7 linked regions of the Macaca fascicularis genome follow. The protein of the gene in region 2 interacts with the protein of the main gene of each other region in a pairwise test. Links are inferred from orthologs where the notes say so. Each region holds a gene or a part of one and is shown on either strand. Other genes may lie near its edges. The genes, in order: SENP2, KASH5, TRAF3IP3, BET1, UPK1B, GPR25 and GOSR2.

Evidence for each region.
Region 1: the proteins of KASH5 (region 2) and SENP2 interact in binary tests that used the Homo sapiens proteins (3 or more experiments, as listed by UniProt). The two-hybrid records come from large-scale screens. The link is inferred for Macaca fascicularis from reciprocal best matches to the Homo sapiens genes KASH5 and SENP2.
Region 3: the proteins of KASH5 (region 2) and TRAF3IP3 interact in binary tests that used the Homo sapiens proteins (3 or more experiments, as listed by UniProt). The two-hybrid records come from large-scale screens. The link is inferred for Macaca fascicularis from reciprocal best matches to the Homo sapiens genes KASH5 and TRAF3IP3.
Region 4: the proteins of KASH5 (region 2) and BET1 interact in binary tests that used the Homo sapiens proteins (3 or more experiments, as listed by UniProt). The two-hybrid records come from large-scale screens. The link is inferred for Macaca fascicularis from reciprocal best matches to the Homo sapiens genes KASH5 and BET1.
Region 5: the proteins of KASH5 (region 2) and UPK1B interact in binary tests that used the Homo sapiens proteins (3 or more experiments, as listed by UniProt). The two-hybrid records come from large-scale screens. The link is inferred for Macaca fascicularis from reciprocal best matches to the Homo sapiens genes KASH5 and UPK1B.
Region 6: the proteins of KASH5 (region 2) and GPR25 interact in binary tests that used the Homo sapiens proteins (3 or more experiments, as listed by UniProt). The two-hybrid records come from large-scale screens. The link is inferred for Macaca fascicularis from reciprocal best matches to the Homo sapiens genes KASH5 and GPR25.
Region 7: the proteins of KASH5 (region 2) and GOSR2 interact in binary tests that used the Homo sapiens proteins (3 or more experiments, as listed by UniProt). The two-hybrid records come from large-scale screens. The link is inferred for Macaca fascicularis from reciprocal best matches to the Homo sapiens genes KASH5 and GOSR2.

The regions. Positions count from the first base shown.
Region 1 is NC_088376.1:97,550,366-97,553,865, reverse strand, and holds part of SENP2 (sentrin-specific protease 2), read right to left. Parts: intron 1,438-3,500; coding exon 1,306-1,437; intron 1-1,305. UniProt on the Homo sapiens protein: Protease that catalyzes two essential functions in the SUMO pathway.
Region 2 is NC_088393.1:57,356,569-57,360,068, reverse strand, and holds part of KASH5 (protein KASH5), read right to left. Parts: coding exon 3,456-3,500; intron 3,444-3,455; exon of another isoform or gene 3,373-3,443; coding exon of another isoform or gene 3,181-3,372; coding exon 3,124-3,180; intron 2,808-3,123; coding exon 2,748-2,807; intron 1,457-2,747; coding exon 1,392-1,456; intron 1,228-1,391; coding exon 1,140-1,227; intron 676-1,139; coding exon 553-675; intron 1-552. UniProt on the Homo sapiens protein: As a component of the LINC (LInker of Nucleoskeleton and Cytoskeleton) complex, involved in the connection between the nuclear lamina and the cytoskeleton.
Region 3 is NC_088375.1:67,597,420-67,600,919, reverse strand, and holds part of TRAF3IP3 (TRAF3-interacting JNK-activating modulator), read right to left. Parts: intron 3,140-3,500; coding exon 3,068-3,139; intron 2,944-3,067; exon of another isoform or gene 2,780-2,943; intron 746-2,779; coding exon 605-745; intron 497-604; coding exon 359-496; intron 1-358. UniProt on the Homo sapiens protein: Adapter protein that plays essential roles in both innate and adaptive immunity. Plays a crucial role in the regulation of thymocyte development.
Region 4 is NC_088377.1:127,321,590-127,325,591, reverse strand, and holds the start of BET1 (BET1 homolog), read right to left. Parts: upstream 2,801-4,002; 5' UTR 2,659-2,800; coding exon 2,640-2,658; intron 1-2,639. UniProt on the Homo sapiens protein: Required for vesicular transport from the ER to the Golgi complex. Functions as a SNARE involved in the docking process of ER-derived vesicles with the cis-Golgi membrane.
Region 5 is NC_088376.1:164,009,100-164,013,165, reverse strand, and holds the start of UPK1B (uroplakin-1b), read left to right. Parts: upstream 1-1,266; 5' UTR 1,267-1,305; intron 1,306-4,066. UniProt on the Homo sapiens protein: Component of the asymmetric unit membrane (AUM); a highly specialized biomembrane elaborated by terminally differentiated urothelial cells.
Region 6 is NC_088375.1:58,609,711-58,613,768, reverse strand, and holds the start of GPR25 (probable G-protein coupled receptor 25), read right to left. Parts: upstream 2,801-4,058; 5' UTR 2,744-2,800; coding exon 1,658-2,743; 3' UTR 1-1,657. UniProt on the Homo sapiens protein: Orphan receptor.
Region 7 is NC_088390.1:66,846,360-66,849,859, forward strand, and holds part of GOSR2 (Golgi SNAP receptor complex member 2), read right to left. Parts: intron 2,101-3,500; coding exon 1,964-2,100; intron 1,106-1,963; coding exon 973-1,105; intron 1-972. UniProt on the Homo sapiens protein: Involved in transport of proteins from the cis/medial-Golgi to the trans-Golgi network.

The sequences.
Region 1 (3,500 bases), on a different chromosome or scaffold from region 2:
AATTCAAAGGTAAGGTACTAAAGAAGGGGATAAAAGGACTCTCTATAGTAGAAGACAGGGAAAAAAGTGATCAGTGCAAAATGGAACACATGAAAATGGAATGAAACTCTACTTTTAAGGCATGTAAGTAACACTTAATGGCCAGAAGATGGAATCCAGGAAGAAAGTCTGTGCAATAATGAAAAGATCTACATAACTGTAACACAGCAAAAAAATGCAGAAATATTAACAGTAAGTGAATTTTACTATATATAAATTAGACTTCAATTTTAAAATATAAACTGGAAGGACATACACCAAAATATTAACATTTTATTTATCTTTAAGTGGTGGTACTTTTGAACAGTAATATTTTTTACTTTTCCTGTATTTTCCAAATGTTCTACAATAAACAAATTAGATTATAATGTAAAACAAAACATTCCTGATTTCAAAGAATGTGTTTATAAGTAACTAGTCATAGGGGATTTCCCTCAAAGAGAGAAGATGCAGGGGCTAAACAGTTCGGGAAAGAACCCACCAGAAAATTGTCAAAGAACTTAAGAGTTAGCTTCTGCTAAATGTAATAAGGATACAAGATGACAAGTTAGGCAAAATTTTTCAGCTATCACTCAAATAAAGAAAAATACATAGAGTATAATCAATATATCCTTTTATTACTCAAAAAATAAAACAGGCCAGGCGTGGTGCCTCACGCCTGTGATCCCAGCACTTTGGGAGGCCAAGGTGGGCAGATCACCTGAGGTCCAGAGTTTGAGACCAGCCTGACCAACATGGAGAAACCCTGTCTCTCCTAAAAATACAAAATTAGCTGGGCGTGGTGGTGCATGCCTGTAATCCCAGCTACTTGAGAGGCTGAGGTAGGAGAATCGCTTAAACCCAGAAGGTGGAGGTTGCATGGAGCCAAGACTGCACCATTGCACTCCAGCCTGGACAACAAGAGCGAAACTCTGTCTCAAAAACAAAAAACAAAAACAAAAAAACAGCTACTATAAGAATTCACCTAAAATACAGTATCACTTGCTGCTTCCTCCCATTCATCAATTGTACCCAGGGTTTACTGAAGACCAGTAAATGGAGTGGTGGATGTAATAAAGTACAGACGCAGAAAAGGGAAATATTGCTAATTAAAGGCAGAAAATCAGAACTAACCATCTTTTTAAGATTTAAGATGTTTTTGTTTTAATTATAACTAAGAGTTGCTTTACCAACCTCTTATAACTGGGTAGAAGTCACTTTGATTACAGATAATAAATAAATAGTTAAAATTAATGATGGCCAAAAGGGGGAGGGAATACAACTTACTTCATCATTGAGCCAGTGATAGTTCTTTAATGTCTGAATATCTCCTCGAGTAATTCGCAATTTGAAAGCACAACTTAGGATTTCATCCTGTGGGCCATGGCCTAGGGCATTACTGATTTCCTTTTCCATGTCCTGAATTAGAAAGTCCAGAAGTTGTTATTTTAATATAGAACCCATTATCAGTTATTGAAAACTCTGAGACTGAAAAAAGTTTTTCATCTCGGCAACACCTGACTCTTGAGAAAAATATACTATCAAAGACTTACTATAGTATGAAAACATTTTTTTCTTATTTTTTAGTAATAGAGATGGGGCCTCATTATATTGCCCAAGTTGGTTGCAAACTCCTGGGCTCAAGCAATACCCGCCTTGGCCTCCCAAAGTGCTGAGATTATAGGCATGAGCCACCACACCAACCCTGAAAATATTTTAACTTGTAACTACAAAGCAATCTTACTAATACAACAAATGCTGGTTCACTTATTAGCTTGTGGAAACAATAATAATAATATTTACATCTAAAGTATGGTCTCAATTATCCTACTACTATGTATTAACCACTATGAGCCAAACATGGTGTTAGATGCTTGAAGCACATCATTAATCCGTATTAGTGGGGAAGATATTATTACCATTTTATAGAGAAGAAAACTGAGAATTTATTTTACATATTCAAAGTCATATAATTATTAAAAGGTAGAATATTTGAACCCAGGTGTGTCTAATTTCCTGGCCTTTGCTCCCTTCATAATACTAAAATCCTGATTTCCACTTTAAACTTTTATTTTTTTTTTGAGACAGAGTCTCACTTTGTCACCCAAGCTGGAGCGCAGTTGCATGATCTCACCTCACTGCAATCTCTGCCTCCCGGGTTCAAGCGATATTTGTGCCTCTGTCTCCTGATTAGCTGGAATTATAGGTGCGCACCACCATGCCAGCTATTTTTTTTTGTATTTTTAGTAAAGACGAGGTTTCACCATGTTGGCCAGGCTGGTCTTGAACTCCTGACCTCAAGTGATCTGCCTGCCTCAGCCTCCCAAAGTGCTGGGATTACAGGTGTGAGCCACTGCACCCATTCTCTCCTTTAAACTTTTAAAACATCAAAATAGGCTGGGTGCGGTGGCTCACGCCTGTAATCCCAGCACTTTGGGAACCCAAGACGGGTGGATCATGAGGTCAGCCTGGCCAGCATGGTGAAACCCCGTCTCTACTAAAAAGACAGAAATTAGCTGGGCATGGTGGCATGCACCTATAGTCCCAGCTACTCAGGAGGTTGAGGCAGAAGAATCACCTGAACCTGGGAGGCAGAGGTTGCAGTAAGCTGAGATCGTGCCGCTGCACTCCAGCCTGGCGACAGAGCGAGACTCCATCTTAAAAATAAGTAAATAAAACATCAAAATAAGATTAGGACATCTAAGGGGTTATACCATCCTTTTTGACATGAAGAGAATAAGCAAACAGGCAGAAACTTGGAAACCAGGCAGCAATTTAGCAATTGACTCCTTATGGAATAAATGGCTTCATCATACTAAAGAATTATGCAGATAAATGCATTATTTAGAATACAAAACTAAATCCATTAACCCAATAGAAATTATTTTCCTCTAGGCCCGGGGCAGGGACTCGCGCCTATAATCCCAGCACATTGGCAGGCTGAGGTGGGTAAATCACCTAAGGTCAGGAGTTCGAGACCTGCCTGGCCAACACGGTGAAACCCAGTCTCTACTTAAAATACAAAAATTAGCTGGGCGTTGTGGCAGGTGCCTGTAATCCCAGCCACTTGGGAGGCTGAGCATGGAGAATCACCTGAACCCAGGAGGCAGAGGTTGCAGTGAGCCAAGATCACGCCATTGCACTCCAGCCTGGGCAACAAGAGTGAAACTCCATCTCAAAAAAAAAAAAAAAAAAGAAGAAATTATTTTCTTCTAAATATATGCTTCCTCCCCCAGCACACAGCTTCACTATTTTATGGATCTCTCTCTCTCTCCACCTGCATGCCCAATATAACAGTAAGTATTCAAGAGATTTGCCTACTAGGGCAACATTGTAGAGGAAGCCAAGATGTGGCACATCTTTAAGAATTTTAACTACCTTCATTCTTCATGTTCTGTAAGTTTTTATTATTTTCAAATGCAATAATCAGCAAAAGGGGCATTTTAGTAAACTGTAACCACTTTTTTAAAAAATGCAATGAA
Region 2 (3,500 bases):
AGGCAGGAGAATGGCCGGAACCCGGGAGGCGGAGCTTGCAGTGAGCTGAGATCCGGCCACTGCACTCCAGCCTGGGCGACAGAGCGAGACTCCGCCTCAAAAAAAAGAAAAAGAAAAAAAAAAAAAAGATGTCATAGTGAGCTTGCTGGTTTTTCTTAAAGGTACTTATATTTGAAACATAAATGCTTAATATATCCTTAAAATGTTAGCATAAACAACTTGCTTATTCCCTTCCTACGGTAGTACAATTTTAAATCACGCAATTCCTGAGCGTGTTTTCTAAAACAACAAAACGACACGAAAAGCCACAGTGCAATTTGTGTGTTTGCTTTGTTCACCTTTGTCTCCAACGCTGGCAGGTCAGTCCCTGGGGCAGGGGTGGTGTCTGGTCTGGCTTGTGGCTGGGTGTCCAGCACACAGTGTGCTCTCAATTAACATTTTCTCATCAAATGGGGAACAAGCAAAGGTGTGAGTGAATGGCTGGCCAGGGCGGCACCTGGCGCTCCGGGCCCCTTTCCAGCTCCTGGACTTCAGAGCTTTTCCTGTGCTCACCTGTCCCCCAGCTGGGGCTTCAGACGGAAACTCAGCATCCTCACTGGTATCATGGATGACTTCCTCCCACTGCCACACCCCACACAGAGGGTTGGAGAGACCAGCAATTGCCACTTCCTGTTTCTGGGACAGAAGGTGTTTCCGAGGTCAGGGAGAGCCATGTTAAGGTAGAAGACAAGGTCAGAGACAGAAACGGGTTTAGGTGTGTGGCTGAAAATAGGATGAGAGGTAGAAAAGAGCTGGTGTGGGGCTGGTGTGGGGAGTGGGCAGAAGCAGGAACAGGGGAGGGTTTGCTGCCAGGACCGAGGTCTGGGTTCGAGATGAAGTTAAGGAGTGAGATGGTCATGGAGGGAGACGAGATAGGGGTGAGTCACAGCTGGATCGGACTGGGGTCTGGCATAGGCCTGGGGCTGGCAGTGGGTTTGGGGTTAGGATCCGAGATAGAGTTAGAGAAAAGCTAAGGTTGTGATGGGAGCCTCTGGCAGCAATGTGGGTTAGGGCTAGGCTGGTGTGAGGATCAGAGTGGGGAGATGTTTGGAGATCCTGCCTTGGTGGCCTGCAGCTTATTCCAGGGGTGTTAGGCCCACCTGTCGAATGGCCTCGATCTCCAAGCCCAGCGATGGGGGCAGCAGCCGGGTCCAGCCCACTCTTCTCAGCTGGGCCCCTTCAGGTAGCCTGGCCACACAGGGAGGAGGGAGGAAGGCGGCCTTTGTGCCTGGGGGCCACTCAGTCGGCTCATGCTGGCCTCCCTTCCCTGCCCACCTTGGGGCTGGAGACCAGGGTGTCTCTGCTCTTAGGCTCCCCTCCTGCCTCCTCCTACCCTATGAAGTTCCACTCACTCATCGGGCCCCTCATAGGTCTGACTCAGCTGCTCCTCCAGGCGTGAAATCTCCAGCCTCAGTTCCTGCAAAGGAGGAAGTGGGGGGCACATCTGGCTCTCCATTTTTCCCATCCCTGGGCTCCTCTTCCAGGGTTCTTTCCACTTTCCTGACTACTTTGGCCTCCCCAGACACACACTGCCTGGGGACAAAGGGCAGAAAGCCATGACAGAATGTTAGGAAGCCAAAGAGAGACAGAGAGCAACAGGAATCCAGAAGCTAAAGCACAGGCCAAGAGGCCGGGAGCTGTGGCTCATGCCGGTAATCCCAGCACTTCAGGAGGGCAGATCACGAGGTCAGGAGATCGAGACCATCCTGGCTGACAGGGTGAAACCCCGTCTCTACTAAAAATACAAAAAATTAGCCAGGCATGGTGGCACGCACTTGTAGTTCCAGCTACTTGGGAGGCTGAGGCAGAAGAATCGCTTGAACCCAGGAGGAGGAGCTTGCAGTGAGCCAAGATTGTGCCACTGCACTCCAGCCTGGGCGACACAACCAGACTCCGTCTCAAAAAAGAAAAACAAAACAAAACAAAACAAAACAAAAAGCACAGCCAAGAAAATTAAGAGAAGGAAGGCAGAGGCAGTGATGCATGAAAAAATGAAAGACATAAATGGAAACAGACTCACAGACAGGCAAGGGAAACACCAGGGCTAAGAGACTGGTAAAGACCAGAGCCAAACAGAGAAGACTTGCCTAGGGAGACAGACAGCCTAGACCTAGAGGCAGAGACAGGAACCCACACGAGCCTGGCAGAGACACATAAAGATGAGGAGGGGAGGCTGGGCGCGGTGGCTCACGCCTGTAATCCCAGCACTTTGGGAGGCCGAGGTGGGCGGATCATGAGGCCAAGAGATCGAGACCATCCTGGCCAACATGGTGAAACCCCGTCTCTACTAAAAATACAAAAATCAGCTGGGCATGATGGCGTGCGCCTGTAGTCCCAGCTATCTGGGAGGCTGAGACAGGAGAATCGCTTGAACCTGGGAGGCAGAGGTTGCAGTGAGCCGAGATTGCGTCACTGCACTCCAGCCTGGTGACAGAGCGAGACTCTGTCTCAAAAAAAAAAAAAAAAAAAAAAGATAAGGAGGGGTATGTGAGAAGACACCCACAGAGAATGAAAGTGAATGGAAGGAACAGAAAAAAAGTGAAAAGGCAGATAGAGAAACAGAGGGTGAGACACACAGTAAGTCATACAGTCATACATTATGGATAGAAGAAGCAAGATGTGGCCACCGACAGAGAAAGAGCGATGAGGAGGAGAGGCAGCAAGTCCCAGAGATGGCAAAAGAGAAGTGGCCAGGGCCGCTGAGTTACCTGCGTCGTCACTCTGTATTCTTGCAAGGTCTGGGCCAGGCTCTCCACATGGCGAGTGCGCTGGGAAAGCCGAAAGCCAAATGAGACTGGGACCAGTTCCCCAAAGACATAGTGGGGGGTGGTGGTGGGGGGACTGGCTGGGGGGGTTAAGGGACAAGGGTGAGCTTGAGAGAAGAGCTGGGGCCCAAGGGAGAGCACCGGGCAGAAGGGCTTCTAGATCCCTGAGGGGTCACATTGGGACCTGGGGAATCCCTCCAATCTCTCCGCCTGCACATCCAAGGACCAGACCCAAGTAGGACTTCCCTTTCTAGACCAGGGGCAGGAAGTGGCTGGCGCACACGGAAGGCAAATCTCTTTCCCTCCCCGGGCTCCTCACCTCAGAGAGGATGGTGTCTCGTTGGCAAATGAGGTGTTCACACTCAAAGAGCTGCCGCTGCCAAGAAAGGAGCCGGTCCATCCATCCAACCTCCCAGGACTCCCCTCGGTCCTGCCCTCCGTCTGGCCTGCCCTGCTCTCCCGCACCCCGCCGATTCAACCTCCTGAGATGTTCCGGGACTTCAGGGATTTTAGGGATGCCTGGGTGGTCCTGGGAGTCTGACAGTTTGATGGAAGACCCTGCTCTCATCAGGCTGCAGTCACTAAAACCGGAAATGGGAAAAATGGCCCCAGGGTGGTGGAAAGTTGTCAGGCACTAGGAAGGAGTGGCACCTTCAAAGTGTCCTTCTCCATGGCCAGTTCCTGACTTCTCTTCTT
Region 3 (3,500 bases), on a different chromosome or scaffold from region 2:
GCCAACAATGGGCAATTCTGAACTGGATGCTTTTTTGGGATGGAGTTTGGAGAGTGGGTTGGGATATGACATTAGTAGGCTGATATATATTCCAGCCAGTTCTTTTCATTTGGATGGTGATGGTGTCATTCCAATGAACGCTTAGTTCATTTGCATGAGCAGTGCAGACATCCTTGCTAAACTCGAAATTAAATTTCAGAGCCAAAACAGTGAATTTGGTACAAAGTAGGTGGTGACTGAGGAACTGAAAGCCAGATGCTGTCAGCTGCCTTTGGAGTCCCTAATCCAGAACAGCTTCTTCATCACCACCCCTCCTCCCCATACCCTGTCTTCCCTCCCCACCCCCAGTGCCTGGTACCTGCAGTTTGGACTGAAGCACGTTGAGTTGGCTCTCCAGCTCTCTGTGCTGGGACCCAAGGGTCCTCCAGTCCTCCTTCAGAGCCTCGTACTGGCTCCTCCACTCTTCACACTTCTGCTCTGCCAGGGCCAGGGATCGCTGAGGGAGGTCAGAGAGGAGAGGTTCCAGGGAGCTGTGCAGCTGGCTCCCTTGTTCCCCAAGCTGCCTGGAGTCCCCAACCCCAAGGTCTGTGTGGCATCCCCATACCTGTGTGCTCTGTAGTTGCTGCTCTGCGTTCATTTTCTCCTCCAGCACTTTCTGCAGTGACTCCTTGGCCTTCTGCTCATAGCTGTTTTTCTGGTCTTCCATCTCCAGTAGTACTTTTTTCATTCCCCAAGGGGAGTATTTCTGTAAATTTGATGCAATTCAACAAATACACATTGAACTTCTGTGTGCCAAATCCTGAACTGGGATACAGAAATGAAAAGAAGTTGGTTCTTCCCCCAGGCAGAGATACCAGTAATCTAGTGAGCCTTTTCTTTTAGGGTAGAGCTAGCAGGGAGAGTCCCTCAGGCAATGAGAGATGAGTGGGGGGGCATAATAAACAGTGCCCTAGGCTTGCTGGGCATTATATCTGAGGCCTTCCACAAGCTCTTGAAATCCAACATGTCTAAACAGGACTCATGTTTCTAAACATGTTCTTTTTTCTTGGGGTTCCTATCTCAGTGACCAGAATCATCATCCATCTAGTCTTTTCCAAACCCTAAACCAGGGAGTCAATCTTCATTTTCTCTCTCATTTCCTTCCAGTAATCAGTTGGTCATTGAACCTTGACAGTTTCCTTCATAGTTCATATCTGTCTCCTCTCTATCCCTACTGCTGCTTCCTTAGTTCAGGCTCTAGTAGTAGTGTTATGTGGATTAATGCAACAGCTTCCCTTTCTTCAAATCTTGCCTCCCTTCAGTCCCTTTTCAGTCCCGCATTTAGAAGGTTCTTTCTAAAATGCAAATCTGATCTTGCCACTTCCTGCATAAATTCTCCATGGATTCTCAGCATCCTAAGAATCACATCCAAACTCCTTGTCATGGCTCCACTTACATGCCTAGACTTTCATCCCATGCTACTTCCACCTAAGCTGAGATGTTTGCAGATCCCCTAGCACTCTGTTTTTTTGGCTTCTGCCTTTACCCATATAGCTTCTTCTGCCTAGAACTGGTTAACTTCTACTCATACTCAAGATTCAGTCCAGTATCATCAGTTCTGATAAATTGACCAACTGCCCCCATCCCACAATGTCTTATAGATTAGGCAGCTTTTCTTAGTGTTCATAGTGTTCACATAGTGTACCCTGCATGCCTCTATTATTCTACTCTGTTGACTCATCTGTTTTTCCTACTGGATTGTAAACTCCTTCAGGGAGGGAGCATACTGCTGCTGCTTTAAAAAAAAATCACTGTAGCTTCTCTACAATGCCTAATGAACTTAATGGTTTAAAATTAATACATTCGCGTTATAAAATTCCTCCTGGCTGCAGGATTAAGGAGACACAAGTGCAGCTTTGCAAATTCACTGGGGGTCTTGCCTTCTCCCTTTCTTTCATCTTTGTGTCCTGTGATTTCGGAGAAGGCAGGCAGATTTTACTGTCAATTCTGGATTACCCACTGTGTAAGCAGTAGACCAGATGACAAAAATTTAGGGATCAATATGAAATCATTTCCATTTAGCTTTGGAATTGTCTGAAATTTTGGATTTAAATTTGAGTGGGTCTTATAGTTTTGGAACTTTCATTAAAAACTAGATTCAGGAATTAACCTGGTTGAGGTCATATGTAGGGGATGTCCCAGTTATTGGACATCCAATGACCATCCATGCTGGGCACTGGTTATGTGTTATTCCTTATTGAAAATGAATAGATTGGCATTCTGGATTATATATTGGTCTCTTGTGAACTTGGTTGGCATTATTTAGTCCTGTCAAAGCAAGTCATACTGAATAAATGAAAGTTGTGGACCAAGAAACTTATAGACTCCATAAACTCTCTTCCCCTGTGAGACGCCATCTATGTGGCCAACTGTCTTCTCTCTCTAACTCCAGATGGGAGAAGTCTGCCTGTTCCGCCCCATTCTCTTATTTGACATCTTCCCACCTGTCAGGTATCCATCACTTCTCAAATGTGAAAGCTGATTTCTTTCTATCTCTTGTAAACCAAGATTAGGCCAATCAGGAGATTACTAATGCTGGAAAATGGTGTTACAGAAGAGCCAAGTAAAAGAGCTTTTACATTCTTCTAGGGGTTGCTAGAAAAAACAAAAAAAGTTGCCCATGGAATGAAAATCATTTTCTAAGACTTCGTTATAACATCTAACTCATCTGTTCAAAGATTAGGATGTGTAAAGATCTGTCTGGGTGTTGTGAATCTTTACCAAGGGCCTTTCCCTACAGTTTCAGGTATTCTCAAGGTTCCCCTGGAGCTGACAAAGTGGTTAGTGCTGGGATTCCTCCAGGGTGCAAAGAGAAGGATACTGGGAGAAAGGGAGAGGAAGAAGGATGGAGACAGTGATCTAGTGAATTAGAGACTAAAGTGAAAATGGCCAAGCCAGAACTGGGTAAGTAGGAATGGGTGTGTTATTCTCTATCTGGTGGCATTTCTCAAAAGTAAGATTGAGGTTCAAGCATTCTTCACATTTAATTCTAGATTCCCGAGATGGAAATATCCTTCAGAATGCTTACCTGGGTACAGGTGTACAGCTGGTTTTCTAAGGATCTCAGTTTCCCCTTCAGTTTGTCTTCATTAAGTTGTCCCTGGAGCAAATGGGATGAGTTAATGAGTGTGGGCCAAAATCTAGTCTGCAAAGAGTTTGACTCTATATTCCTATCCTACTGCCCAGCACATGGTTGATGCTCAAACAGTGAACTCTTTCAGGAGGCAGGCAGGAGCAAATATGACAAAGGATGCTGAATAGAAGAGGATCTTCTCTTCTTTCTCTAGACTAGGACAAGAAAGAATCAGACTGGCCTCAAGTCCTCCTTTTACCTCCATTTTTATCAAATGGCTCAGGGTAGCATAGCAGGGGAGCCCTGGAAGGAAAGCTTCTAAGCTACCCTTTCGCTCACTACCTCTCTCCCCTCTCTAGGCACTTCTGCACTCCTCACCTCTTCTCAG
Region 4 (4,002 bases), on a different chromosome or scaffold from region 2:
AGATACCTATGCAATCTCCACCACCACAAAAACCACAACAAAATATTGGAGAAGTATTTTCCAAACAGAAGAGAGTTGTACTATCTGAATTTTCCTGCTGACACACTATCCATAAAGCTCTCCACATGTGTTATTATAAAAGAACTCAAGGAGTGGGCATATTTTTTCCCCCAGTCAACAATTAAAGTTACCATTTAAAAACGCATTCCTACTCTATTAATCAATGATACTCTGTGCAAACTGTAGTTTAATAAGGGCCAAGATACTTAAAGAAAAGAATAATGTCTTCTTATTTTGTGTGGCTGAGGTTCTGAGTATACAACATTTACCCAGTAAGTAATTACTGACTGGTTGAATGGAAACATTTGACAACTTCACCAAGGAATTCATTCTAAATTTTTTCTTTCCTATTTTCTTTCCTTTGTTTAGTTGCTTTTGCCTATCTTAATTTTAATTTTAGAGTTCTTCCATGCTGTTCCATTTATTCAAAGTGATATTCTTGTTGTATTTATTGCCAAAAATATATCAATGCACATTTCTATTGAAGAGTTGATCTTCCCTCAAACTATGACCCATCCCAAATACAATGAAAAAAGTAAAAAACAAATAAAATGCTAGAATTGCTATTCCAAACAGAGCCACTTCCCTTCTGGTGGTGTACTGCTATGAAAAGTTGTAAAAAAGCTAGTGATTACTGAAGATCATCCTCAGCCTTTGTTTATTTAGATAAACGCTACTTCTTTTGGATGGGTTCTATCAGTAAGCTAACAAAACCAGTTATCATGTGAAGTGTGGCAACTTCTGCCTACAGATATCTATCAGATTCACTATGATCCCAAATTTAAAATTTCAGGTCAATATACATTCATACTTTAAAAATAAGAAAAGAAAAAATGTTTTGTTTTTTTTTTTTTTTTAAAGAGTAGGTAGTGGGTTCTAAATTAGTGAAATTCTAATTTAACTGGCTGAGCTGAGGTCCAGGAAACAATACTTTAAAAATTTCCCAGGGGATTCTAATGTACAGTCAGGGCTGAGAATCATTACTCAAGTCACTTTCCTGTAATTTAACATGGCACACTGCAGCAGAAAAATGCTCAAAAGGGCCTAGGGGCCTACTGATGAAATCCAAACTCTTTGGCCTCGCATGCGAAGATCTCCACAGTGTGATCCCGCATCACTTACTTCACCCAAACTGGTTTAATCATAATCCCTTATTTCTTTTTAGTTCCTCCTATCTGGAACCCACTTCCCCTACTCTCAATTATTCAAGGTCTACTTCAAATTCCTATGTCTCCACAAAATACACAAGGATCTTCTCCACAAAGTACACAGTAATCTGTCTCTGAAATCTCTGAGACCATCCCTTGTATGTAGAACCTATCTGGTATTTGGATGTATAGCGACTACTTTGTACTATAACTTATCTTTGCACATATTTCTACTCTCCAACTAGACTGGAAGCTTTGGGGATCGCAAACCGGGCAACAAACAACTGTATACCTAGAGCTTACTCAAGCACACAATAAATCTTTTTTTGTCATTAATGATGATGAACAAGAAAAACATTTACACATATAAAACCAAACTTACTCAAAATTCTTTCTTTTTTTTTTCTCATCAATTTACCTGGCCCCACTTTCTATGATCCAAGTATTCATAAAAACTTCATTAAAAAAAACAAAAAACTTTTTCATACTACAATTTATTAATAAATAAACAAGTCTATGGTTATTGGCAACTTTCATTATATCTGACACATTGGGGAATTTGTTTTTCTTTCTTCAATCTTATAATGACTGAGAAAGGTAACACTATCTTTTTTCAAAAGTTTCATTTATTTTCTGAAGTATACTGCACTCTTAATTTAGCAGGGTCTTCTTTAAAAAAAAAAAAAATAAAAAATAAATCGTGTCCTAAGAGAAAGCTTCAGAATCAGAAAATGCTGTTCTAGTAGCTGTGCGTTACTATAAGGGCCCATTAAAATTCCTTGGGTCTAACTTATTCTTGCTGATGAGCCACTTTACTAACCCCAAAGGTAAAGATCAAATGTTAAGTCGCCAAACCTTATCACGTTCTACTGCCTTAACCGTGGCACAAGGTTCAGATTAAGAAATCGCCTTTGACCCAGAAGTTACAGTTCCAGGACCTTTAACAATAATGACACGTACATTTATTTACCTTTGTAACTCACTGTTACCAGACTAACGACCACTACTACTAGTGTGTTTTGCGTGCAACCACCCACTCTTCAAATTCCACTTCTGAAGAAACTAAGATCCAGGGCCAGTAGAGGAAGAGAAACCGGAGTCGGGCTTTGGAAAACATAGCAGTGTCCATAACCACGCTCAGGCAATAACACTAAGACACTCGACCACTGAGATGCCACCTGTACACACCCACCCCCAGTCCACTACTTTCTCTAGCCTACCATCCAAACTTGAATCTGACTCAGACTTAAGGAAACTCCAAGGAACTGGGACAAATGGTATGTTTCCATTCGACTTGGCCCACAAAGATCCCCTCTAGACAGCCTGTTTTTTGGACCAAATGCCAGGAACAGAAGACAGGTTCGATTTCTTTCCGCGCCCAGCATGGCCGGTTCTAGGGCCCCGAACTTCGAACCTCAGCCCTCTTCTTACCCAGGCCTGCACGCCTCATCCTGCCAGAGGAGAGAGAGAAAAGGCGGGCGCGGGGGGTTGGGTGAGTAGGAAAGAGCTGTGACCCCGACCGCGTCTTCAGTACCAGGGCCGGGCGAAACACCAACTTCTTCCCCTAAAGCGCCACGACATCAGTGTAGTCTAAACACCGCGCCTGCTGATGGCGTCACCAGGGCGCTCATTGGAGCCCTGGGAAGAAGGTTGAATGGCATTCTGGGAAATGTAGTTCACCGACGCATAAAGTGTTGTTGAGGGCGTGGTGTGAGCCAGGTTCCAGGGGCGGCCGGGGCTTCCGGTAAAGGGGCCGGCTTCTACTGCTGCTCCGACAACGTTCCAGCTGCTCCGCTCGCAGCTTCAGGTAGCTGCTTTCAGTTTGTTAACCACCAAGATTAACCCAGCAGATCTGCTCCTCCCGACCCACAAGAGGGTGGTTGGGGTATCTTTCCTGATTCAGCCTCGTACTCCCTCTCACCTCCAGAGGCAGTTGAGGGAAAGTTAGACAAAACTTTGTTCAGGTTTCTCAGTTTACAAACAAGTAATCCGACACCCACAGAAGTAACCGATGTGTGCCTCGTAGTATCCGGTAAAGGAGAGAAAACCAGGTGCCTTTGAGTAGGACTCCTGCTCGGATAAGAGCCAACTAGGAAAGGCGCGGGGTCTCGTCGGAGGCACTGAATAATTTGTGAATAGTTAGTTCCCTGTTACTGCATCTGTTGTACTTCTAGAAGGAACCAAGACTTTTAGTTGTTATAGGGACCAAAGGACCCCTAAACTCCCTCCCACTTAACTTTTTACACAAAGCAGTGTGCCAGTTTAGGGGTTTAAAAGCTTGCTGGCGAGTTGGAGGTGTTACTGGTATCGGGGTTAATCCTAGAATTTCATTTTATCTCACAGGATTATTTATCGTGAGAATACGATGAAATCATGGTTTTTGAAGGAAAAAAAAAAACCTGATACACAGGAGGCCATCAAAATCCACTGGGTGTCTGCGGTTTTGTTGTTGCTGCTGTATATATGGCAGTGGAATCGTCTCCACACTAGAGTTTCCGAATATGTGATCTCTGATCACTTAGCGTTTCCTCATAGTTTCCCAGGACATTATTAACATTGACTATAACAGTGGCATAAGTCTCTGCGTTAAGTTGCTCTGGTAAAAAACACACGAAAACAATTTTTGATAAGAGTTATTAACCTGGGAAGGAAGCTTTATCCAATAGTGTTTTGATAGAAAAAAATCGCCATTTTCTAAAAGCAATGGAATTAACTGAGCATAATATCAGGGACAATTATTACAAATAAAAGATGAAGATTCAATAAAAGAAATGATAGCTAGGTATCCCTTTAT
Region 5 (4,066 bases), on a different chromosome or scaffold from region 2:
GCTGCAGAGGAATAAGGCATTGTGATGGACACAGAGGTGCTCCATGCAGTCCCCTTCAAGGGGGAGCTTGCCCTGCTGCTGGGAGTACTTGCAACCTCCCAGCCTCCAGTTATCAGCCCCTTTCAGGACTTGCCTCAGCTACAGAAAGCTGCCTTCCCAGGGCAACCCACATTGAAGGGCAGATGATAGAGGAGCCCAGTGGCAGAGCTACATTGACAGGCCATCTTCCTCCAGAGTTTCCCAAGGGGGACTGCTTCAGACTGTCCCACCTATATTGCAGCTCAACTTCTTTCTCTGCCCAGTCCTGTTTCTTCCCTGTCCCTGCCATGGGTGTTCCTCTCAGGGCACTCCCTAATAAATATATTGAACACTAAATTTTGTCTCAAAGTCTGCTCCTGAACAATCTAACCTGAGACAGAGATGATGCTGACCCTTGAGGAACTCCCAAGTCTATTGATTAAAGCACTCAGTAAATTCTAACATTACTGCTGTTACCAACTCCTAACTCAGGTTAAACAAGCTATGGTGCACGTATACTACGATAGGTTATGCAGCCATTAAAATGATGCTCTGGGTGCCATGTATAACACATGATGGCTCCGGAAGTCAGGAAAGAAGGAAAAAAGAAAGGAAGGGAAGAGAAGAGAAAGGAAAGGGAGGAAGGAAGAGGGAAGAGAAGAATTGGACATCAGATAATCACTTGAGCCCTCTCTCTTTGCCTGAATTTTTCTCAATCTGTTTCTTTCCACATCTCTTGCTCCTTATTGGTCTTTGGGCTACCTACAGTATGAGCATTACTTGGGCAATGACTATTGCTATGAATTTGGCATATGCAAGGGTTATAGAAACTAAAGCTGGACATGGCCCTGCACAGGTAAGCACATATCATTATCTCTGTGAGCAGTCAGGACTAACAAGCCTTCAACACACAAAAGCAGGAGTAAGGATCAAATTACACTAATCAAATCAAATCAAAATAAAAGCCCTGAATTTGTATTCCAGTAAAGTCCAGACCTAGGAGGGATCTAGGAAAGCAATGAGTGTGGCTGTCAAGGTGCTTCCAGATGTCAGAGTCACACATTCCAAAGCAGCAGAAATCTACTGACAGTCTCCGGTTACTCCCCCGTCTCAGCGAGGCAGGGCAGGCAGCGGCAAGCTCAGCCCATGTGAGGTGCCTCCTGCCAATCACAGACCACCCTTCCCTGGTCCTGGAGGTTCAAAGGATTGCAGGAGGGTAGAAAAGCACCTGGGGCTGGTGCAGACTGCGGAGCGGGCCGCACCCTGTGTGCAGAAAGAGGAGGCGCTGTGAGTAGACTGCTTTCCCTCTACAGGGAATCCCGCGGGCTCAAGGGTTGGGTTGCTCTCCCGGGAGGGAAGCTAGTGGTCTGGGAGCGAAAGGGGAAGAAGTTAGATTCCTGATTCATAAAGTCTGTCATTTTTTTTCTTTGTAATTTAGGGTATTGTGACTGTCCTGTTCTCTTTTACTTTGAACCGTTCAAATTGCTTTCTTAAAACCTTTGATATAAGTCTTGTTCTGTTCTGGAGATATTACGCAGCCATCCTGCTTTCAACCTGAAATATCCCCAAAGAAAGAACAAGAAAATCCAAGCACCTGAGAAACCCCGTATCTCCTGATTAAATCGCACATAGACAGACACCTTTGTAGACCCCCAATTTCCTTGTGGAGTCAGAAAAGCAATAGAAAATTTAACGAAATAGCTCGTGTCATTTCTGAATAATCCGTTCAGGCTAGCAGAGAGAAAGTTTCTTGGTCTTCTTGTCAGAAATCATTTGGTCCTGCCAACTTGTAATGAAATGTGTGAGGCAATTTACTCCCAGTTATTCTCTGCAAACACTTCTGCTTAATAAATGTGTCAGTTGAAGTAAGTCAACAAAGTAGCTTTATCTATGCAATGTTATTTTTACATAATTTGTTTTTACTCCTTACCAATTCTTTGTTCCACAAGGATGTGCAGGACATAAAGATATTTTTCGTTCTAATGACATTTTCATACAAAATACAAATTTAAGTTTCAAATAATGCTAGTATTATTTTATGTTTGCATTTGTTTATAAACCTAAAACTCTATTTCTAACTAGTTTTAAAGATTTTTAAGCCATTTAAGAATTTATAGCCAGTTGCAGTGGCACATGCCTCCAGTTCCAGCTATTCAAGAAGCTGAGGCCATGGGATGAGGAGTTCTAGTCCAGGCTGGGCAACATAGTGAGATCCTGTCTCTAAAAATATATAAATAAATTTTTAAAGAAGTTTTGTTAACTCGAATGTCTTCTTTTAATGAAAGACAATGTTTCTTGACCATTTCTTGCCTGAGTTGCTAAGCACAACAGGAAATAACTCGCTAGGTTTTATAGATATATATATATACTTTCAGTATAAATAAAATTTAGGTTACATAGTTTTCAGACCCTGTGAAGAAGTGGATTTTCTTTTTATTAACCTTTTCAGTGAGGAGAAAAATTTCTTACTTTACTTTCGCTCCAACAGATTGTTTTGCTTTCTGCTATAAAATAGTCTTTAAAATCAACTCACCTATATATTTTTTTTTAACTGCTGGGAAGAATCATAGACTTTTACATTCAAAGGGGACCTTAGACATCCTTTAATCAAGGAGAAAAAAAAAACTCAGAACTGTTTTTGTTTTTTGTTTTTTGTTTTTTTGAGACGGAGTCTCTCTGACTCCCAGGCTGGAGAGCAGTGGTGCGATCTCAGCTCACTGCAAGCTCTGCCTCACGGGCTCACACCATTCTCCTGCCTCAGTCTCCCAAGTAGCTGGGACTACAGGTGCCCACCACCACGACCGGCTAATTTTTTGCATTTTTTAGTAGAGACAGGGTTTCACTGTGTTAGCCAGGATGGTCTGGATCTCCTGACCTTGTGATCCACCTGCCTCAGCCTCCCAAAGTGCTGGGATTATAGGCGTGAGCCACAGCACCCGGCCAAAACTCAGAACTTCTTTTTGACTTCTCCTGCTTACGTTCTTAACCAGAGTAAACACCAGTCAGCCTTTAAATATGCTCTGGAATTTGGGCCTGATAGCCATTCAGGCCGCCCACAAACTTGATGGGCCACCATTCGCCAACTGGGACAGAGACCACATTGGTGAGGGGCACCGTCATCACACACCACGCTCCCCGCCTCGTCCCCCTGCCCCAAGGATTCTCCACAGTACTCCTTTCCTGGAGCTGGGCATCCCTCTGGCAATGCCCACACCTGAGGCCTTCATGCAACTGAGTGCTCCTGAGCCATTGCTTACAGCTAGTCCCTGATTTCCAATAGATGGATGACTCCCATCATACTGGGAGCACCAGGAATCAAGAGTAGTGCTGTCCAGTAAAACTTTCTGTGATAAGGGAAATGTTCTAGACAATAGACACTAACCACATGTATCTGGGGAGTGCTTGAGATGTGGTTGGAGCAACTGAGGAACTGGTTTTTACTTTTATTTGAATTCATTTGACTTTGAATAACTGCACGCAACTACTAACTACTGTATTAGTGAACACAGGTTTTGAGCTTTAAAGCAAGAAAAACTTATGGGCACTGTGAGCCATGGGTGATGGCCCTAGGAGAAAGCTCCTCTTTTTGTTATTTCCAGGGACTTATCCTACCTTAAGTTGAAGCAGACCAGCAATTGTTGTGACCTACAGTCTCCACACCCATCTTTACTCTGAGCCACGCAAGTGTCTGTTCTTGTTCTGAGTTTCAGGGTCAGGGCTAAGGCAATAGCATATTGTGTTTCTTCGTTTCTTCCTCTCCTATTTTTCCTTTTCTTTTTTTTCTCCTTTGTTAATTCAAATTTCTCTAGCATGAACTAGAGTTTGAGGTGTGGTTTGTGTGTTCTCTGGTGCAACAAACTTGGGTGAGGAAAAGAGGTAATGAACTTGAAAAAATGATCTCATGCTTACTGGGCGAGTCACACTTCTTTTTCTTCTGCTTTGCAAATTGGTTTGTTTAGTGACCAATTGTTTTTAGAACTTTTCAATGTGTCTGGAAACATCAACACTATGGGTATGATTAATTTTTATAAGAAAACAAACTGAATGA
Region 6 (4,058 bases), on a different chromosome or scaffold from region 2:
ATCAGAGTCAGCTTCCCTGCCCTGAAAATTCTGGGGTCTCAGCCCCATGAAAAAATAATTTCTTGCCTCAGAGAGCAATAGTGAGGATAAGAAGTGCCAAGACTTAACCGAGCTCTCAAACACCAAAGTGCCTGAAATGTGTCCTGCTGGCAGAGGTGACCTCACAGGCTGCAAGGCTTGCCTCTCTTGGAGTATATGGGAGGAACATGCAGAAATGCACTTTTTGGCAGGCTGATCTAGGAGACCCGATGTTCAATCTGCTCTAATCCAGCAGCTCCAAATGCTGAAGAGAATACAGGGGTATTTGATGGGGGGATGGGATGGATAGCCTGCGACAGAATGCCAGGCTTCAGACCCAACCTAGCACTGAGGTGCTTATCCGCGTGCACACCCACCCTTTCCCCCAGAGCTTGCAACATCCAGACTGGCCTGTGGGGATCTGGCTAGGATGTACACTGACTGAAATGTCTTTAGGCCAAATCCTCTTAAATCAAAAGTATAAACAGTGAATTTCCAAACCCTACAGAAACCTCAAAGGAGAAATGACAGAGTCAGAAAATGGCTAATCCCCACAGTTCATACTGGTCTGAAAAAAGTTCATGGAAGGTCTGAAAAAAGATAGAAAAAAAAAAAAAAGGCCTGGTATATATTTGAAAATCCAAAATGACACATCTTCTCTCAGAAGTGACACCCGGCTGGCAGATGCCCTTATATAAATATATTTTCTTTCTGTAGCTTTCAAAATGTGAAATGTCCTTAAAAATAATAAGAATAAATGATTTGCTTCCTCCTATGGGATTACTGCACCTGCAGAGTGCAGCCAGCATTCAGCTCCCAGACACCACCCCAAATCCTCATCATCCTGAGATCAACCTCAACTACTGTGTTGAGTTTTGTCTCACCCAGTGTGCGACCCGCCTCCTGATACGCATTTCACTCCCACTGCGCAAGCAAAGACGACTGTGAAGACAGGGCTAGCAGGAGTGTCTGTTTATTGAGAAAGATGAATTCACAGAGAAGATTTTGAGGTTCCTGGCTGAGTGGTGGAGACCTTAAGAAACGCCTGGTGAGCGATTTCAGGACCTTCTGTTGAGAGGGAAAGACCAGAACAACTTCCAGGTGAGTCCTACCGCTTCGTAGGGGGAGAAGTGTCACCAGATTCAACACCAGGGTTTTGTGAGTGAGAAGGGCAGAGGGCCTGACTTGGAGAAGGTATTTCTCTGAAAGCAAAAGCTATTGTGGGAGACGGGAGAAAGCACAGCCAGAAACCAGAATGGCATTTAGGGGTCTGGGTTCGATTTCTGGTCAGTGCTCTTCCCAATGAGGCAGAGAAGGAAATCCCCTTCCCTTCTGTCTTCTTGGTGAATCTGCGGGTCTCCGAGTTGCTGTCTGCTCCATCTCATAGCACTTATCTTGTACCCTGCAGGCTGACAGGGAACAGCTAGTCTCAGGAGCCTGGTTTAGGGGAGTTCAATTGCTCTGAGGTTCCGGGGAAGCTGATGGAGGAGACCCTGGGAGTCCAGGCAGCGCGCGAGGCAATGCGATGCCGGCCGGAGCAGCTTGCTGCCGCCAGAACAGGCGCATCTGGGTCCCCTCCCGGGACTTCTCCCCTCCTCTCGGTGCTCCGCTGTCGCCCACCTCCAGCGGCCCGGGGCAGCTACCAGGGGGCCGAGGCAGTGTTCGCGGCCTGGGCCCGGCAACGGAACACGGAACTGTCGTCCCTGGAGAGCGAGGAGGCCGAGCTGATCCTTCGCGCCAGGCGGCCGGTGCGCCCGCAGGCCGCGTCCAGCGCCCGGGCTCGGAATGAGCGGTCCAGCAGGAGGTAGATGAGCGGGTTGGCGCAGCTGTTGACGAAGGCCAGGCAGGTGGCGATGGTGAGGCCCCAGCGCAGCGCCAGCAGCAGGGGGCACGGCAGTGGCAGGGCCCCCAGACGCGCCAGGTGGAAGACGGCCCGCAGGGCGCTGAAGGGCAGCCAGGAGCCCACGAACGTGCTCTCGATGGCGAAGATGATGCGCAGCGAGTTCCTCCGGACCCGACCCACGTGCGGCGGCCGGCGCAGGCGGCGCGAGATGCGGCAGTAGCAGAAGAGGGTGACGACCAGGGGCAACACGAAGGTCAGCAGCAGCAGCAGCAAGCTGAGGCCCTGGAAGGTGTGGGAGGGCTCCTCCCCGCACTGGCTGCCGTGGCCCCCAGGCAGGGGTTGCAGCCCCCGGTAGACCAGGGAGGGCAGGCCAGCCAGCAGCGCCACGGCCCAGACGCCGCAGCACGAGGCCAGCGCGCAGCGCGGGGTGCGCAAGGGCCGCGCCTCGAGCAGCTTCACCACGGCCAGGTAGCGGTCCATGCTCATGCCAGCCAGCAGCAGTGCGCCCGCGCAGCGCGTGCCCGCCAGCGCGAAGCTGCTGAGCTTGCAGAGGCCCTCGCCGAACGGCCAGCGGCCGTCTAGCGCCGCCGCCGCGGCCCACAGCGGCAGTGTGAGCACTAAGCCCAGGTCAGCGGCCGCCAAGTGCAGCACGAAGGTGTCCACTAGCCGCCGTGGGCCGCGCCGCCTGGCCAGCAGCCACACCACGAAGGCGTTGCCCAGCAGGCCCATGGCGAAGGCCGCCAGGTAGAGTGCAGGTATGTAGACATAGCCGTAGGGCAGGTCCCCGGCCGGACACAGCTCCAGCTCCTCCAGGTCGTCCAATCCCGAGTAGTCCCAGGCCCCTGACCCCGGGCTGGGACTCCAGGGCTCTGTGGGGTCCATGGCCTGGCCACGAGGCCTGCGCTGGGTGCAGCCCTGGGCTCAGGCGGCAGCAGCTCTGAGCAGGAGGGGGTTTGCTCTTCATGCCCGTGTCGTGCACCTCCCTTCCTGCCACCCCAGCTCGAGCAAATGGGTGGGCAGGAAAGACAGGAGGGAGGAGGGGATGGGGTGGGAGGGGCAGGCTCCTGTGGGAGAGATGGTGGCCTCCGATTTGGGGCTGACCCGAGGGGTAATAGGCAAAAGGGGCTTCACAACTAAGTCTTGGGAGGAAAAGTCCTCAGGGCTGGGAGACCTGCCCCGCCTCCCAGTAGGAGCGTGGCCCATTCCTCTATTAGTTGCTCAGTTTCTTTGTTCGTGAAATCGGGATACTTGCCCCACTGCCTCAGGGTCGTGTTGCAAGAGGTGGTGGGTGCCAGAGAGCCCTAATCTCTTCTCAGCCTCCACCTCACCCCTTCCCACCTGCACCCACCGGCTGCTGTTTTCTCTGTTTTAGAGGGGAGAAGACAGGGGATTTTATGAGTATGGGGCCTAAGGCACGCCCCCCCCCCCCCAAATCCACCTGTTCCCTAGGAAAGAGTCCACTGCCGGGACACAGCAGATCTGGGTGGGTCGGGGAGCCCGCCCTGGGCACTCAAACCGTTGTTAGCATCCTGAAATGTGGGGTTTGTGTCTTCACCCTGTGAGTGGCTTCTCTGACCCAAACAGGTCCTCATGAAGCGGAGTGGAAGGGTTTTAAGGCATCTAGGAAGGGGTGTAGTCAGATCATCCTGCTGGACAGGGGCCAAGCCTGGGATTCACATCTGCCTCTTCCCTGTCTTCTCCCAGCCTAAAAAAGCTATCTATTAAGCCAGACGCAGATGTAAGCTCAGTTCAAAAGATGACACCTAATGAAACACCAGATTAGTTGTCCTAAATTATGAGTCAGGAGCTTGGAGGCAGCAAGATCCTTTGTGAAATGAGAAACTGAGAGTAAGGGGAGGATACCTAAAGAAGAGGGGGAATGAAGTCTGACCCTGAGTGGGCGGTGGGCCCTTAGGAGGAGAGGATGGGGGAGGGAATGCTTGCTCTTCCTCCTGAAGGAGGCATGCAGCCAATTACATCTGAATTCTTCTTAGCAGATATCCCTTCCACAAGATATTGTGGTGGAACTGATGTCACAGTGCCCTCTGAGTCTGTCCCCAGTGTCCCCAGGAATGAGTGGCTGATGTGCCGGGCAACCTGGTGTGGAAAATTTGAGGTGGATTATCAATTTTGTTCGATTCAGACTTGTTAACAATGAACTCCTCCATGAAGCAGGCACTGTTTCAGGCACTGCGAG
Region 7 (3,500 bases), on a different chromosome or scaffold from region 2:
TGGTCTAAAAAAGGCCTGAATACTACATTATTAACGATCTAAAATCCAACCATCTTTTAGTGTGTCTTATAGTTCATTAAATTTTTGAACTGTTAAACACTGCGACTTGACTGCTTAGTCTGGGGAAGCAAAACAACGTTGGCAGAGCCTGAAACACTTGGGGAAATTTACTGCAAAGCAAGGATGCAGCATTGAGGGTTAAACATCTACAAAGCGGGAAATGATGTGAATTTTAACAACAGGCTTAGAAAGCTAACATCTCTTTAGAAAATAATCCTCTGTAAAAAACAACATACAAAAAGCCAAAGCACACTTCACTTAGTGGAATATATTATGCAGGACACAGAAAAGGCCAGTCTGTTCTACAGCCACGTGCAGGAAATGATCTGGTTAAGACTAAAGGGCAGGGACAATGGGTTCTGAGAAATCCAACGTGCACACCAACACATTTTCAGACAGACTCAGGCAAGCAGTCCGTCTAACCCTACACATCCGTTAACAAATTCCTCCAAATTGCTGCTCAGACTAGGGGCAAAAACATTTTAATGCACCTGACACTGGAACCACACACATACCCGGCACAACGGCCACTGCCCGCAGGCAGCTCTGAAATACCGCCTTCTCTACAAATGGCCTAAGTTCTAATCATCTGTCTCTATCTGATCAGAAAAACGTTTCCACTATGTGAACTTCCACCTTTCTGTCTCAGACCAGTCCAACCAGGTAATTTTCACCTCTGCCTATTCCCCTTCAATTTAACTGCTTCCTCTTCAGGTTTTTGTCTTAGAAAAAGGGATTCTCTGTCGAGGTCTAGTCTCTGTGGCAATGCACAAAGTTCCCGTCATTTCCAGTTGGTTTCCTCATCACCAGTCTTCTTCAGATACCCCCAAAACAGATGGCGCTCAGAGATCTGAACTCCAGCCCCCACAATCTGCCAAATGCAGGCCGACCCTCACCGCAGGCCTGGCTTACGTTAGTGGTGAAGGTTCGAGACAGAAGCTCTTCTCGCTGTCTCTCCTGCTGCTCCCTTGCATGGCGCCGATGCTGGAAGTTTCTGAGCGCAGTCTGCAGGTGCTGGACATCATACTTTAACTGGTCGACCCGACTGGAATTGATGGAGAGAGAGATTAAATTCCAGGAACTCAGGGCAGCAGAGTCTCAGGGGGCCAGGCTTTGTATTCAGGAAAGACAGCATTTCCTTACTTCTCCCTACACCACCCCACGCTATACCCCACCACCACAAGATCTGATTTTGATCAATGATGTTGAAAGTAAAGAAGTAACGTGTGGTTAAAGCGAGATGGTAGCACACAAGCTTCTGGCAGCTTTACTTCAGAATCTGTTGCTCTCTGATTCTGGATGCATGACAGGGAACAGGGGACAGGAAGCAGGCTCGCTGACCTCTTCTTGACCTTCTATGGATTATATCGCTCTCCTGGAAGAAGCCCAAGGGCATCTTTGAGGTAAAGCATCCACAAAGTATCATAAAACTTTTGGAAACAGGCACTGGGGGTGGAGTGGCGAAGGTGGTTTCATTTTAATTTCATGGTGGAGTATCAAACATTAGATCAGCATTTCATTATGGGTGGACTGATTCAAGTGATTTTTCATTTCAACCCAAGAAGAACCCAGCAGGAACCAAAGAGCAGAACAAAACTCCATGGCAACATTAGGCTTCAGGTGGCTATGGGTCTAGTCAGAAAAACAGAACTGGAGGCAGAATTTCAAAATGACACCAAAGGGGTCACAAGGTTTCTGAGTCACAAACCTCACAGGCTATTTATTTTGAGGAGCATTACTCAGATACAACTGTGCCCTTTGGGGGGACTTTTTCTTTACATAGTCGTAGTTTTTCAACATGTACGTGGGTTTTCAGAATATTCTATCGCCTCCCCCCCCCCAGGAGAAAAGCCTATCTTGCCAGGCCTGGAGTAGCAGTGCCATGTCAGAGGTCAGCACTTACAGTTTGGCATTTTGCCTTTTGTTAGGGGGCTCCTTGCTGGACAAAATCTCCAGACGTTCTAGACGGCTGAATATCTGGTCTATGCTTGCTTGGATTTCGTTTTCTACTACTGTACAAAAAAGAAAAAAGAATAATTGCTGGAAAAGAGATAGTGAACTTAAATTAGAATAAATTACAGATTTTTTTTTCAATATCCAATAAACTAGAACTACATATTTCAAAAGGAGAAAAATGTATACACTAATGAATAACAGAAAAAATTCAAATTATGCCGTAAATGTTGTTTTGAAAAAAGTACATGTATATAGTTGTTAATGACACAACAATGCCAATTTTTTTAAAAAGCTGAAGGTAAATCTGTAGAAATAAATTTCCTACCTTTAGAAAATAAACATGCAAAGGTTGTACAAATAAATACTTTAAGCTAAATTTTCTGATATAGGTCTCTTTTCCTTTGGATTTCTCAGACGTGGATTATAAATACCTAGTAAAAAGACTGCCAGTTGAATTCCCTATAGTAATGAGTTTTTTTTTTTTTTTTAATTAAAAAAAAAAAAGCATAAAGGAAGGGGAAGATTAGTATGTGAAACATACAGAGGAGAGCTCCCTTAAGGCTTTCTGTAAGAATGGGTGGGCTGAGCAATGTTGACGTCCCCAAAATAGACCAAATATCAATAGGAAAGGCCCAGGAAAGAATCCACAGAGGTAAAGAGATATGATAAATACGGTCATTTTCCTTATCTCTTTCGATAAGACAGTCAAAATGACCTCTTTCCATTTCTAATCATGTAACGAGATTGCTGAGAAGGCAAACAAAGTCCAATGAACAAAAAAGCTAAACTGTGCACAAAAGAAAGCATCCAGACTGCTTCTTGCCCATAAAGAAGTGACAGCAGTGACACTGCCCCTTCCTAGGCCTTTGCGCCCACAGTAAACAAAGACAGTTGAGATTAGAACAAGGTGGGGCACAGAACCAAGAACAGAGCTGCTTTTGAAGCTGTGAAAGGAGACGTGAGAGAACAGGAGGAATGGGTCCGGAGGGAGCCCAGCAGTGGGGTGGGTAGGCAGTCCCCGCAGGTGGTGTCCATATGACTGACTCAGAAAAAAGATCTTTCCTTAGAATAGAAAAAAAAAAAAAAACCAAAAAAAACAAAAATCCAGCATGCTTCTCAAAAGAAACCATGCTGTGGGAACTAAACTAATTAATATTGCTGTTCGTTTCTGAATAATCCTCCTTAAAAGCCACAGTTCTCAGCTCAGAAGAAATGGCCAATTCCAGTTAAACATCTCTGAATTTTTATGGAGTACATTCCTCTAAGGACTAGGTAATTAGATTAAGACAGATGGAGGCAAGCGCTTCCATTCCCATAGGGCCATGTCAGGTTGAGTGGAGGGGTAATGGGGGATAAGACTTGTGGGATTCCAAAGGGCACACTCAGGGAAATCAGTGATTTTGCCATAGGGTTTTTCTGTCCACCCTAACAACAAAACTCATTCCACGCTGAATCATTAAGCCCCCGAGGCAGAGTGCAGTCAG